Linked DNA regions of Coturnix japonica. The protein of the gene in region 1 binds, or shares a complex with, the protein of each later gene. Links are inferred from orthologs where the notes say so. Each region holds a gene or a part of one and is shown on either strand. Other genes may lie near its edges.

Evidence for each region. The genes of interacting proteins can lie anywhere in the genome.
Region 2: the proteins of PHF2 (region 1) and VRK1 are in contact, whole or in part, in a crystal structure (PDB 8F8Y), measured with the Homo sapiens proteins. The link is inferred for Coturnix japonica from reciprocal best matches to the Homo sapiens genes PHF2 and VRK1. Residues at the interface, in NP_005383.3 of Homo sapiens: Tyr7, Tyr14, Val16, Thr17, Arg18, Phe19, Met20, Ile21, Glu22, Trp29, Glu39, Ala42, Ile45, Asp46, Tyr48, Lys64, Tyr145, Ser147, Glu150, Lys175, Val178, Asp179, Tyr182, Ser183, Thr184; in NP_003375.1 of Homo sapiens: Pro2, Arg3, Val4, Lys5, Ala6, Ala7, Gln8.

The regions. Positions count from the first base shown.
Region 1 is NC_029527.1:4,437,612-4,441,850, forward strand, and holds the start of PHF2 (lysine-specific demethylase PHF2), read right to left. Parts: upstream 2,809-4,239; 5' UTR 2,707-2,808; coding exon 2,692-2,706; exon of another isoform or gene 2,638-2,691; intron 2,314-2,637; coding exon 2,126-2,313; intron 1-2,125. UniProt on the Homo sapiens protein: Lysine demethylase that demethylates both histones and non-histone proteins. Enzymatically inactive by itself, and becomes active following phosphorylation by PKA: forms a complex with ARID5B and mediates demethylation of methylated ARID5B.
Region 2 is NC_029520.1:42,292,096-42,296,249, reverse strand, and holds the start of VRK1 (serine/threonine-protein kinase VRK1), read right to left. Parts: upstream 2,807-4,154; 5' UTR 2,711-2,806; intron 1,949-2,710; exon of another isoform or gene 1,780-1,948; intron 1-1,779. UniProt on the Homo sapiens protein: Serine/threonine kinase involved in the regulation of key cellular processes including the cell cycle, nuclear condensation, transcription regulation, and DNA damage response.

The sequences.
Region 1 (4,239 bases):
TGAAGGCCCCAACAACCCGGCCTGGCCCTCCCAGCACTCCTTCAGGACACATTGCAGTGTGGTCACTTTCCAACTGTGGTGACAGCTTAGCTCTGCTTGCAGCTTCTAAGTGGCACTGAGCAAATTTAACTTATTTTTCACCTTTGAATCATACAAATGTACCATCAGGACTGTTGAAGTGCCACAGAGATGTCAGCCAGCATTAGGAGGGATGGGGACCACAGCTGCTGTGTGAACAGAACCCTGTAGAAGCAGGTGCTGGAATATCTGGAAGCTACTGTCAGGGAGGAAGCACGAAACCCCTGATCTGCTTCTATAGAACTGAAACAGGAACAGCTTTATTATTTTTCCCTGCAATGTGCTGTGTGTGTGTTTTAAGTGGGCAAACCTCTGTGAGAGCTCAGAGCTTTGCACACTCAGTCACTTTAGTTACAGTACAGTACCTATACAGGTATTAACACCAACAGTGCTTTGAGCACCCAGGAAAGAGACAACTCTCCATGACCAAATCCCGATGTCTATATTGAGCTGATGATTTATTGGCTCATACAGTACCGAGCAAATCAAACAGGGACAGATACAGGTGGTTTCTTACTCCATCAGCCACCTCGCTTCCCCAATAATTTAAGGTTCCCTTGGAGAACGGTCGCCTCGGTTTTGCTCACTGTAAAACCCACCTCTGGGGGCTACTTTTGGGCTGAGCACAGGCCCTTTGCCCCCTCTGTAGGTCAGATCCCCTGACAGCCTCACAGCCTCACCGCAGAGCCCAGCACCATCCCCGGGACACACGGCAGATGCTGGCACATCACTGTCCTGCTCGGGTACAACCAGCATCGCTTCCAGCTCACATCTCACAGCAAAGCTGGGCGCTCAATCCTCGAGTCCCTCCCCAACTTCCTCACCTCGAGCAGAGGAGGAAGGAGAAAAAAGAAACAAAACCGAATAACCAACAACCCCGAAGTTCAGTTTCACGCAGCATTAACTCAAGTGCGCCCGCTCTGCCATTGTCTCCCGCACAACAGCCCGCCCGCTCTCGCTTTCCATGACAAAGCTTTAGGGCGAAATGAATCTAGGGCCGAAGTCCTCCTTTGTCCGCCCTAAACAAACTCCCCCGGCGGCATCGCGGGGCCCTTCGGCGGCTGCGGGGCGGGGGGCAACGCATGGAGCCCCTCCTTCTCCGCTTCCCTACGAGGCGGGGGCCGTGCGGAGCGGGGCGGGCTCGGTGCTGCCGGGGTTTTCCCCGCACGGCCGCCGCCGCCGCCGCCCCGCCTCAGGGCCGGCTCTCTCCCTCCCCTCCCGCCCCCATCGGCTCCCGGCTCGGAGGGGCTTCCCCTCGCCCTGCGGAGCCTCCGCGGCCCCGCGTTTCCCCTCCGCCCGTTCCGCGCCCCGCCCCGCCGCCCCGTTAAGGGTTAAAGCCGCAGGGCCGGCCCGGAGATGGCAGCCCTGTCAGACGGGAAACACCCGGCTGCCCCGACAGGGCCGTGGAGCGCGGCGGCGGGGCTCGTAGGGGGGGGTGAGATCCCCGAGAGGGTGAGGCTCGCCCGGCCCGGAGCTCCGGGCGTGGAGCCCGCTGACAGCGCGGCCGAGACCCGGGACGCTGAGCCCTCTCCCCTCCGCTCCGTGTCCGTAACGGGAGGTTGCGGGACGCGGCCCGACCTCTCCCGACCGGCGGAGCGGCCCCATAGCCGGGCTCATACAGCCGGCAGCCGGCGGCACGGTCCGCGCTCCGCTCCGCGCACCCCACGGCGCTCGCCCCGAGGAAAGAAGCACAATGTCCCCCCCCCCCCATCCATAACCACCATCACCCCAATGACACCGGAGCCCCGGGGAGGAAGGGGGGGGTGGGGGGGGGGAGCTTTGTGCGGGGAATTGAAGGCAAATTTACAAAACAAAACAAAAAAAAAATACAACGCGGAGGGAGAGAGAGACGGGGGCAGAGTGGCTCCTCCTCCTCCTCTCCAAAAAGGCCTGTTGGAAAACTGCACACGGCGGCGGCTCCAACGGCACCATCGCCGCGCTCTGCCCTGGAGAGAAAAGGAGGCGAAAGGCACCGAGCGAGAGGAGGAGGAGGAGGAGGGGGAGACCGCGGCGAAAGGGGGGAAAAGGCCCGATCTCTTTGTGTTACCTGCCGTGAAACCAGTCCTTGCAGGCATCGCACTCGATCATGAAGCGGGTTACGTCGTAGGGCAGCCTACAGATGCAATAGACGGGCACCGTCGCCATGTTAGCTCCCTTCAAAACAACACCGGACTCGCGGAGAGGCGAGCGGGGCTGGCGGCGGCTCCTGCCGCTCGGTAGCTTTGGCGGCTGCTCCTTCCGAAACGCGAGCGAATTTGCGATGTCGAGAGACGGAGCGGGAAAAAGGGGGGGGAGGTGGGGGGGGGGGAAGGGGGAGAAAGAAGGGGGGAAAAAAGAAAAAAAAAAATCAGATAATGCAATTACGGCTCCTCAAGGGCGAGCGAGCAATGTCAGAAAAATAAGAAAGGGCTTCGCAAAGTTTGGCTGCATGGTTCCTCCGGCTCCGCGAGCGCCGACCGGACCGGGGCTTTTTTTGTTGTTGTTGTTGTTAAATGATTATTATTCAAAATGTTTGGCGAAATGCATTCTATTGCATGCCCCCTGGTGACAGTACAGTACCGAGGCTTTTCATAAACACTCCGAAATGTAGCCCTTTCCTTGTAATGTCCTTACGTCAGCTTGCAACATTGCAATATTTCCTCTGCTGGGGCTGGGGCTGGGGCGGGCGGCGGCGGAGGGGGAGGCGAAGCGAAACGAGGCGGCAGCTCAGAGCTCGGCGCCGGGGGCAGAGCGCGGCCGGGAGGGAACCGCGGTGAGTCGGGCTGAGCGCTGCGGGGCTCCGCGCTCCGGTTTGGGGGGGGGATGGAGGGGATGGAGGGGATGGAGGGGAAGGGGAGCGGGGACTCGGTAAAGAAAGTGGCCTGGGTGAGGCGGGGCGGGGCGGGGAGCGCTGCGGGACGGGGCACGGAACGAAGGGAGCGCTGAGTGTGTCGCTGCTCCGAGTGTGTGTGCCCCGACAGTGCGAGTCCTGAGAGGCAGGAGAACCTCCAAGAGACTGAAGGCACCGCTATGTGCTGAGAGCGGGGAGAGAGAGCAGGAGGTGGAGGGGCCTCGGAACACAACGTGGTGGTTACTATTAAAAATGGACAGAAAGAAAGAAAGAAAGAAAGAAGTAAAACAATTTGTTTGTTGGAATTATATTATAGGCTTGGCACCACCTCCGTTCGTGCCAACTCTGGGCTGCTTCCCCAGAGCTGCAGGTAAAAACCCTGCACCTACACAGAGCCACAGGCTGCAGGGTACATGCTAAAGGCCACCTGCACCACTGCTCCTGTGAGCTGCAAAAACCCAACACCACGGTGCTCTTGGATGAGTGAGCCGCAGGGGTGAAGGCAAAAGGGGAATCTTTGAGTTTGAGCTGAGATTGAGAACACACAACTTCTCCCCCTCCCACTGCACAGAGTCCGAAGAGCCCTCTGGGTGGCTTTGGAAGGCACGATGCAGGGCATTCTGCTGGGACACACACCCTGAGCATCTTCAACAGCTGCTGACTCGAGTCCCTTCGAAGTATGAGAACATCATGTAAAGCAGTCACAGAGTGTCCCAGCTGATGTGCAAGTGCCAGTTACGACAGATCTGGTGTCTCGAATCCATCTCATTTTTGAAGAGAGGACAGTATCAGTCCTAGAGCAAAAAGAGAAAAACAGGCATTTCTTGGTGGTTTTTTAGCAGTCTGCCAAATCAGAAATCATCCTGTAGGGGACAAAGGAAATTCAAGGGCCCAAATATCTTTGGGTTTTGCAGTGTCAAGAGACAAAGCAGAGATACTGCTCGCCTTGCCCCTTGGATTGATGTGGCACACGGAGCTGTGTGAACTAGTGCTGGGAATGGCATTCCTGGGCCCAACATGAATGTTTATGAGTGAAACTGAATTTCTGGCATAGCTCAAGGTGTGGTAACATGGGACTGAGATTATAGGCCTACATCATGACTCAGTTGTTTTGAACGACATCTTGAGATGCACTAAGTGTCTGTTATCCTCAGTGCTGAGTGGCAAAAGTCTACACCTGTGAAGAAACCAGACCCCATTTCAGCCTGAATTGAACTACTGAGATTTTAATTGCTCAGTGTTTCCACTAGAAAAGTATTAGAACAAGTCTAGGGTGTAACTTGGGCTCACATTGTAACAGGAGAGGTTCAGGTTGGATATTAGGAAAAAGG
Region 2 (4,154 bases), on another chromosome or scaffold:
ATCAACTCAAAGGCATTCTACTGATTGAAAGCTGAAAGACCTTTAGAGAGCAAAATCTTCCTACGTTAAAAGTACAAAACTGAAAAACAAAATAGATAGCAAAAGATTTAAAAAATAAATAAACAGATTCTGAGATTGTAGCACGAATTCTGCCATTCTACGTTTTTGTCAGCTCACAAAACACCAAAGATGAGGCTTTTGTCAGGAAACTTATGAACCTGCGAATCTAATGCAGAACTGCCCGCCTGTACTTTCAACAGCTGAAATACAGTCATCTACTCTTCCCTGGAATCATCTTTAAAATTACATTTTCAAAAATTACCTTTCCCTTTCCTGCAACTCAATTACACTTCCCCATCAGCAAACGGAACTATTTTCTATTTTACAGGCATCATGAAGCTCAGTTCATTAGTGCCCGCTACCATCTGAGTTCCCTGAAAAGGTTGCCATAGATGTCAAGTAGTACATCGTCACACAAGCATCAAATAGATAGGACCCCACTTAGCTAAGGTACCCGATAAGAACAAGGTGTGCGACTGTAAACAGCAGCATTTTATGTGGTTACACTGTGTTCCAGACAAAGACCTGACTTCCAACAAATGTAAACAGCCAAAGTCTATTTGCCTAAAATCTCGCTGGAAGATTCTCAGTAACATTAAGGCAATTTCTTCTTCTCCTTCCTAAAAAAAGCATCTTGGATGAAATAAAATAAACCATGCTTGAGATATGCAGACAGTTTTGTACCGGTAGTGCCAGAAGTATTGTTAGCTTTACAAATGTCATCTACAGCAGCTGTAACTCTAGGTATAATTAAACTCTTAGAAGAAACTTAAGTAGCCACTTCTGAATTTGTGCTGGCGTCCATTTGCAATGAAACTTTGTAATTAACATACATCCAATTTATTTTGAAGGATGTAATTCTGCTGTGTGGCAAGTAAGACTGATTTCCTCATGATCTTTCTTTTCGCTCTCTAGAAATTGTCTTTTTTATTAATGGTGATCTCAACTGGGCCCATTTTCACTCCCAACAGTGAGAAGTCATGCTGCTGACCTGTGCTCCTGTTCATGAACAGACAATTCCGGAAATACCTTTAACATACGTGTTTATTAATAACGTTCATCAGTCATGGCAAGACATCTAGGTCTGACTGAGGGATTATTCTTGAAAACGAAGGAGATAATTTATTCACACAAAGAAGGCACCAGTCTTTTGACACAGTAATAACTACAGGAAGTCTCACAAAAGTTTGCATATTATTGTTAATGATATAGAAGGACTGTGTATCACTGTGAAATAATTAAATAAATTTAAAAAAAAGCCTTAAGCACAAGCTGAAAACCCAAGAAGACAACCAAGTTGAACACGTCTGCCATTGCACCTCAAAGAGAAATGCAAAGGGCAAGACGTGGGAAATGAAAACCACAACTACTGCCAGAACCAGCTTAGTCCAGTTGTTACACAACTACCCTGATCCTAAAGCCAATGATCAGTGACTTGGAGGTTTGTATGTAAGAGGAATACCATGTAGATAACTCTGAAAGTAATGCCTCCTATTTATTTCCATGGAAACTTCGACAGACACAAAGCGCACATTACCACTCAGCTGATAGAGCAGATTCTCCACTCTAAAAGACTGTTTTTCAACACAGTCATCACCATGAGCTGTGCATTTTTGCCTGCAATAAACAAGAGCCTGCATGCCACACTGCTAACAATTTGCACCAAAGGAGGTGACTCACTGCTGAAACACACTACCCACCGCTCAGCTGCACTCTCACCTGCTATTTGGTTTGCAGAAACGTTCAGCAAACAGCAGTGAATGACAGTGGGTGCCATTTTTTCTACATGGAGGAATTCAGTGATGTATGTATGCTTACTGAACAGCAAAGCTCAGAAATGCTTTGCAGCCATGGCAGTATTTAGTGCGTTGGCCACGCAGGGATCCTCCTGCAGGTGACAATCACAGAATCACAGAATTATCCGGGTTGGAAGGGACCTCAAGGATCATGTAGTTCCAACCCCCTGCCTGGCAGGGCCACCAAACATACTAACTTTACTAGATCAGGTTGCCCAGGGCCCCGTCCAACCTGGTCTTGAACACCTCCAAGGACGGGGCATCCACAACCTCCCTGGGCAGCCTGTTCCAGGGCCTCACCACTCTCCTAGTGAAGAACTTCCCCCTGACATCCAACCTAAATCTTCCCTCTTTTAACTTAAAACCATTTCCCCGTGTCCTGCTATTATCAGCCCTTTCGAAGAGTTTACTCCTCTCCTGGGAGTAAGTTCCCTTCAGGTATTGAAAGGCTGCAATGAGGTCACCCCGCAACCTTCTCTTCTCTAGGCTGAACAAGACAAGCTGCTGCCGACACTTTTCCTCCTCCCTCACCTCACCAACATGAAGGAAAGCCCTGTAGGCCCCGCCGCCAAATAAAAGCAGCACAGACGACGAGGAAGCTGCAGGAGCTGGAAGCCTCCGCTCTCCTCACGCTGCCGGCCCGGACAGGCTCCCCCGGTTTGGAACGGCAGAAGGCCTCATGTACTACCCAAAAAGGGAAACGAGAGAGCCCAGACGCAGACCTGCCAGCACGGAGGAGGCAGGGCAGGCCGAAAGCGAGGGGGGAAGGCGGCCCAGAGCTCGGAGCCTAAAGAAAGACGAGTAAAAAGAAGAAGAAAACGCAGCGACCCCAACTTAGCCGCCGCTCGTGGTACCTCGTCCTGCCCCAGGCCCAGCCGCTCCTTCCGCACCGTCCGAAATTCCCGCACTGCCCGCAGCTCTCCAGCGACCCGCCCGCCCCACCGCCCACATCCCAGTATCGCTCATGTCCATTGGATACAGCCGCTCTGCCGGTCCGCCCCTCCTGGAACGCGGGACATGATGGGAGGTGCAGTCCCTGAGCTCGCTCTCCAAGAGCTGTCTTTACACAGTGTGTTCAGCACGAGATTCCTTTGAAAGCTTACGCTAAATTGGGAATAATAGAAATCTACACTAGGCATCCTGCAGATATTTAAGGATCCGAGCTATTCTGAATGCTGCTGAATCTTACTTCACCCAAAAGACTGCTCAGAAGAAGTGGAACATGCTCCCACATGAACCTGGAGAAGATTGAGATAGGACCTTAAAACTTAATACTATCTGGTTAATACCAGACTACTGGGGTCATAAAAAACATTTCAAGTTGCCAATATGGAAAACAGAGTGAGAAATTTAATTAATATTCAAATTCTACACACTAATCCCGTTTTAATTTAATATGATTTAGTTGCTCTTAGTTCCAAAACAAAATTATCTGAACTGCAGAGAAAAGATGATCTTCAGAATGACATTCTGAAAACGGTCTTGAGAACAAGGCCGTAGAGACTTAAAGTAATGTTATAAATGCTATCCCATCTAAAGTTGGTACAGAAAACTTTCTCACATAAAGAGAGAAGCCCAGACCTCTGATTTTAGTCTGTTTGGCCTGAAAAATCAATTCAGTTTCAAGCAAAAGTTACATATATGATACACAAATCCTGTTTCTTTTCCTCAGAGCAGAGACTTTTCTTGTATTATCCTTCTGTACACTAAGGGTTGGGCTTTTGTTTAGCCAGTGTGAATGCATCTGCTTTAATACTGCTATAGCAGGAGATTCAAGAGTTAACTACATCCCACAACTCTTCTTGGATGACCACTGCATACTATTAATTTTTTGACAAGATTTCAGAAAAAGCAGGTATTGACCAAACTATCAAAACATTGTATGGGTTTCTCATTATCATGTAATGTGTAGTAAGTGGATTCCTGGAATGCACTGACTGCAACTTTCAAACATGCTTTTAAAATTATCTTAGATTTGGTAATTGTGTTCGATTCTCCTCCGCAGAAAGGATGTTCAATCTTTTCAATTAAAGATCTCTAATCTTAAACAAAACGAGTAATCCAATATATGTGTGCACTACAAGTATAGCAGTTAAGGGTTTGAATGCTGCCTTAGAGTAGCGTTAAATACCCTATATACATATCGCACTATATTATTCAAGCAGTTGGATACTTTAGCTATGAAAGATAAAGAATCACATCTCCAATATAGTTCTACAAGAATGTCTGAAATGATAGAGATCGAACTACAGCATGAATCCTTCTAAGCTGGCATCTCATAAAATAAACTGGTTAACT